Zea mays: one gene and its partner. Each later gene encodes a partner of the first gene's protein in a complex. Links are inferred from orthologs where the notes say so. Each region holds a gene or a part of one and is shown on either strand. Other genes may lie near its edges. The genes, in order: Trafficking protein particle complex II-specific subunit 130 homolog and trafficking protein particle complex II-specific subunit 120 homolog.

Region 1 (3,047 bases):
CTAATTCTGCCAACAGCTCCATCAAAGCTGGAAAGGTTGAAAAGGTACCTATTGAAAATGGAAAGATAGAACTTCCTGATTGGGCTAGTGATGTGACTACTCTTGTTTGGTTTCCTGTTCGTGCTATTGATGACACAATTGCAAGAGGAGAATCCCTAGGTCTGTATGTAACAAGTGATAAATTCACTATGTTATGTTTCAATCAGTTAGTTGACCTTTCTTTGTCCTTGTTTCAGTGTCTCAGAAACAGAGCGTTGTAGATGGGATGAGAATGATTGCTCTCAAGCTTGAGTTTGGAGTTTTCCGTAACCAAGTGTTTGAAAGGTATCTCTCTGTTTTTCCCCTCAAACATGCAGAAGAGCTGTGTCATGTCTGCCATTGTATAAGAAAAGATGAGATACTTCGATACATTGAACTTTAGATATAGATACTCAACAAATTTATTATTATGATTTTCAGGACCATTGCAGTTCATTTTACTAACCCATTCCATGTAAGCACACGCGTCGTGGACAAGTGCAATGATGGAGCTCTACTTCTACAGGTAAAGTTCTTTCTTGTCTGGCACATGATTGTCATTGTTGTATTCCTAGATTTAAAACACACACACACACACACATATATATACAGGGATATTGGGAGCCCTGCTCTTCCAAACATATATACTAGAAGCCCCAGCCGTGCCCTGCACCACCCGACCGGCTTGGCCACCTAGATCCCGTGCACACGTCCATCCCCTGCATGCGGATATTTGTTTCCATTTGCATGTGCGAAAAATTTGGAAGGTGTATCTGTTTCCTGCTGCATGCGCATAAATTTAGGATGGTGGGAATGTGCGATGAAAAGAAATGGATTGGCATGCATGAAAACAAAAAATCTTATTGTAATGCTTTATTTCGTCCATAAATATAAGATTACTGCAACAACCATACAACTAGGAGGACATATCCTGTGCAATCACTCATTTTGGTGCAAGCGTGCAATCAAATTATCCAGAGCATCCAATCTAGATCCAACGGTTTCATATGGAAGGGGTTAAAAGTAAAATAGGTACTATGTTTTAGGTGGAAGGGCTTAAATATAAAATAACAGTCATCATTAGATCTAGATCGGATGTACCAGATCGCTTGATTGCATGCTTGCACCAGGATAATTGATTGCATAGGATATTTTCCCTACAACTAGGCTCGTAAGAACCAGTTTATGGTATATATTGATACTAATTATGCTACATGGTGTAAGTATTTATGCAATATGGTACAATGCGTAAAAATCTGTTTCTGTTGCATGCGCACAAATTTAGGATGACATCAATGTGCAATGAAAGGAAATGAATTTTCATGTATGGAAACAAAAAGAATCTTATTTTAATGCTTTATTTCCTCCATGAATATATGATCTCTCCAATAGCCATATAACTATGCTCGCTAGAACCAATTTATACTAATTATGCTAGACGGTGTGTGTATGTATTTATGCAATACGGTACATTATGTAAAAATCTGTTTCCTGTTGTATGCACACAAATTTAGGATAGTAACAATGTGCGATGAAAGGAAATGAATTGCATTCATGGAAACAAAAAATCTTATTTAAGTGCTTTATTTCATCCATAAGTATAGGATTGTTCCAACAGCCATACAACTAGGCTCATTGGAACCAGTTTATGATATATACTGATACTAATTATGCTACACGGTGAAGATATTTATGCAATGCGGTAAACTGCGTAAATTCTGGCACGCGGTTCACTGATGGACGCATCTCCAATTCTCCATGTTCGAGCGTAAAAAACCTTCAGGTTTGATCATAAAAACCCGCAGTTATGAGCGTAAATATTGATTCAACGTGAAAGTTGTTGATTAGGGGAGTTGATTAGGGGAGTTGATTAGGAGATTTAATTATGAGAGTTAATTAGGGGACTTGTTTGCGTGATCACATTTTTATGGCAGATAAAAAAACATGGCAACCACCAGACACATGCGTTCGGTTCCTACTTTTATGCAGATCCAAAAATTATGGTAGGTCGTGAGAATTTCCATTGCATACGCGCAAATTTTGGATGGCATTTTCATTTCTACTGCATTCGTGCAAAAATTGGATGACAGGAATCGCGCAAAGCATAAATCCTTATAGAAAGTTGCATAAATACCTACATTGTACATCATAATTAATGGAAAACGTTCTAATATGTGCCCAACCAACAACCCCATGCATAAACAATAATTGGAGTAGGTCGTCGTCGCTGCACGTGCCTCCTGGATCCGCCATCATTCGCACGTCCGAGGGGCCACCACCACCGCACTCGCCTCGGATGTTGTCGTCGTCGCGAACGCCTCAGGGGACCGCCGCTGCGGCGTGACCTCGGGGAGCCGCAGCCATCGCGCGCGCCTGTGGGATCCGCCGTCGCCGCTTGCGCCTAGGGGAGGCTGGCGCCATCGCTCGCACCTAGGAGAGGTTGCCGTCGCCGCTCCCGCCTCGGATGGCGTCACCGCTGCGCTCCCTCAGGGAACCACCGTCGCGCTCGCGACTCGGGGAGCTACCGCCGCCGTGCGCGCAACGGCGGGGTGGGGGGTGGGGTGTCGTCGCTCGTGCATCAGGGTGGGGGCATCACAGCCGACATCGCTAAAAAATAAAACCCTAGCGCCCTGAGCTCCTTTAGTAGACGTCCGGGACCTGGTGCGGCTGAACCGGATGCCAACATTGGACTAGAGCTTCCCTTGGATATTTGGAAGCCCAGGGCTATATATATATATATATATATATATATATATATATATATATATATATATATATATATATATATATATATATATATATAGTATTGTTCTTATATATACAGACCCAAGATTTTTTTTTTGAGTTTCTGCCTTCTATGGTTCCGGTGGAAGGCATAAGTTTCCATGAACCATACAATTTTTGCCTATTTGGGTGCTTCTGGTGTCTATGGGCATGTGATTGACCAGACAATGACAACACTAAGGAAGGGGTTTTTGGTTCATTTAGCCACCCTCCTAAATTTTAGTGACTAAACTTTAGTCCCTAGA
Region 2 (3,192 bases), on another chromosome or scaffold:
TGGCGCCTGAGGCCGGACTTGGCTGCTGTCAGCCTCACTCTGTCGAGTGGCACAGCAGTCGGAGCGGCGCGGGCGGCGCTGTCCTCTTGTCAGGCCGGTCAGTGGAGCGGCGAAGTGACTGCGGTCACTTCGGCTCTATCGACTGAAGGGCGCGCGTCAGGATAAGGTGTCAGGCCACCTTTGCATTAAATGCTCCTGCGATACGGTCGGTCGGCGTGGCAACTTGGCCAAGGTTGCTTCTTGGCGAAGACTGTGCCTCGGGCGAACCGAAGGTGTGTCCGTTGCTGGAGGGGGTCCTCGGGCGAGACGTAAATCCTCTGGGGTCGGCCGCCCTTGCCCGAGGCTGGGCTCGGGCGAGGCGAGATCGTGTCCTTTGAGTGGACCGAGCCTTGACTTAATCGCACCCATCAGGCCTTTGCAGCTTTGTGCTGATGAGGGTTACCAGCTAAGATTATGAGTCTTGGGGTACCCCTAATTATGGTCCCCGACAAAACTCGATTAGACTATCTCTAGCATCTTATCTATCTTCATAACCATATTTAAATTACACTTTACGAACAGTAGAATCTACAGTGCAGAACAGTGCTTTTAGGTAAACTGCTGGAGACAAAACTTACGCCAAATATAGCGGATTTGGGCTCTCTAGCCAAAACGAACCAGGAAGGTGTGAACTAATCACGCTCTTAGGCTTGGCTGACAATCGTGTATAAAGCAGAGTTTAAAATAGTAGATAAGTATAAGCAAGCTGCTGGTGGTGCGCTCAGTCCAACAATGAACAATGTAAAAAATGTTAAGTAAAATCATATAAGCTAACCAGAAATTAAGATTGTGGAATCATCGACATACAATTTCTGTGCTTGAAACAATACTCACTATGCTTGTACACTGTACATGACATGACTTACAAAGAAGCCAACAAAAAGGACAAAAAACATATCGCATGAGGGGCAGGGCGCCAGGGATCACTCTTGTACAAGATTTTCCACACCTACAATTGTCACAGTAAAATGAGGCCTCTAGACTAGGAGTAACTCAGAAGAACTGCCTATGCTGTACCGACTACCCGGATATGGAATGGGGATCCGCGACACAGTATAGGTTCATCTGGTGACTCCGCCTTTGCACGAGCACGAAGAACGTCTGTGGCATCGATTATAACAGAAGCAGCTTGGAGCGAGTAGTCACCCGGTACAAGGAAATACATGGAGAAAGGATGTACCACCTCTTGCAACGGTGGAACTTCCAGGTGTATATCGCTAAGAACACCTACACAGAAGAACTCGTCAGAGTAGTGAACAGGACATATACGCAGAATAATGCTTCAATGAATAACTTTGCCGGTTAAAGTTTGAAAGATTACGGAATAAAAAAAACATTTGTCCAAAACGATCAGTATAACTCAGGTAAATGACGGTCCTTCAAAGTATAATAAGTAAATGGCTACCCAATTGCCCTTAGCCCCGTTTGGATCCCTGGAATTGAATTCTATTCTAATATTTGTAATTTAGGTATAGATCAATTAATCTAAATATGATTTTATGTACAATATATTATAAACTATTGTTGGTCATACGAGAGAGATATTTATGTACTACATTACTACTATAGATGAGCGAGCCGAAGAACATATCATAAATTGCAGAGTAGAATCATGGACTAGTGATACATAAAATCAATTTCCACTTTCTCAACCTATAAATTTGGGATAGGCTTATATTTAGACTTTGGAAAGTGACAGAATGTCAAATTCCAAAGAATCCAAACCAAATAACCTACCATACTAAGTAAATTTTAATTCCTTCAAAATGGATCCAGAGTCCAAACGGCCCTTAATGTAAAAATCTTTGATCATGCACAAAAAAAAACCTCGGTCGGGTAGAAAAGACCGCTCTCTTCGTATTATATTAAGAAGAGACCGAAATATAGTCCCGGCCGAGAAAATCCCTCGAACCCTAGCCTCCATCACTAACATGCCATCACCGCCCACTCTGCAACGGCCCAACCAGAGGGTGGCGTGCAAGACGTACCCGGGAGCGGGCGGGGCACATCGAAAGGATTTTTTAACCAAGCCAGAAATTCGCCCCCGAGGGGATCGAACCCGGGACCCTGGTAGGGGATGGCAACGGGGAATTCCCCGCCAGGGAATAGCTCCCCATCCCCGTCCCCGCGACGAAAAAATTTCCCCACGGGGATCCCCACAAACGCTTGCGGGGAACATTTCTTTCCCATCCCCGTTCCCCGCAGGGATAAATCCCCAACGGGGATCCCCATCCCCGTTTAAATTATAATTAAGACATACATTCTTTGTTATTAATGTTAAAATTGTCACTTATACATATTGTTATATGTAAAAAATCATTATGCATACATCAAAATGAACACATTTGTACAATTAGTGTTCTCTTGACAAGGTAATTGTTTATTTTTATCGTTAACTAGTACACAAAAACATAGTCACGACTCACGTGCAAGGTTAACGGGTCCCCGCAGGGAACGGGGATGGGGAATGTTTCCCCGTCCCTATCCCCGTTTACCCGTCAGGGGATACATTTTCCCCATTTATATCTCCGCGGGGAAGTTTCTTCCCCATCTCTATCCCCTAATGGAAGAATTCCTCGCGGGAAATCAGGGATCGGGTCCCCATTGCCATCTCTACGGCCTCTGGAGGTGCTACTCGGAAGCCTTAACCATTATGCTAGAGAGCACAAGAAGTTGCCTTCTGTAGCACTGGTCATTGGCTGCATTCATAAAATAAAACAAAAACTGAATCCAGATAGCTATGGAACGGAAACAAAAAAGATAACTCACCAGCCCAGAGGACAGTAGCACTATTTTCATCGAAGCAATTCTCTCCAGCAACATCTTTGCATGAAATGCTAAGGTTCATCCGGATAATTTCCTTTGTGTTGTTGCGAATCTGAACTTCCATATGGGTCATTTCATGAGCAGATATAGGATCTTTGCACCTCAGAACATTGCCAGAATCCTTTGGAGAATCGACATTGACCACAGTTCCATTCGTAACAAGCTTAAAGCTAAACATCAGGGGATCTGGCAACAGTATGTCCATTATAGATGCTTGTAGTGCCGTCTGGATAGCATCTTTAATATTCAGCTCACCTGAGCTATTTCTCCCAGAGTGCCATTTCACTTTTATTTTTGAAATCAAGTTGTTGATAGACGCATTTAGCT

The links.
Region 2: Trafficking protein particle complex II-specific subunit 130 homolog (region 1) and trafficking protein particle complex II-specific subunit 120 homolog share a complex: the UniProt entries of both Arabidopsis thaliana proteins name them as parts of the multisubunit TRAPP (transport protein particle) II complex. The link is inferred for Zea mays from reciprocal best matches to the Arabidopsis thaliana genes CLUB and TRS120.

What each region holds. Positions count from the first base shown.
Region 1 is NC_050098.1:131,487,541-131,490,587, forward strand, and holds part of Trafficking protein particle complex II-specific subunit 130 homolog, read left to right. Parts: coding exon 1-159; intron 160-236; coding exon 237-324; intron 325-459; coding exon 460-544; intron 545-3,047. UniProt on the Arabidopsis thaliana protein: Specific subunit of the TRAPP II complex, a highly conserved vesicle tethering complex that is required for the proper transport of proteins in post-Golgi trafficking pathways to the growing cell plate in mitotic active cells.
Region 2 is NC_050097.1:32,869,228-32,872,419, forward strand, and holds the end of trafficking protein particle complex II-specific subunit 120 homolog, read right to left. Parts: coding exon 2,809-3,192; intron 1,267-2,808; coding exon 1,046-1,266; 3' UTR 782-1,045; downstream 1-781. UniProt on the Arabidopsis thaliana protein: Specific subunit of the TRAPP II complex, a highly conserved vesicle tethering complex that is required for the proper transport of proteins in post-Golgi trafficking pathways to the growing cell plate in mitotic active cells.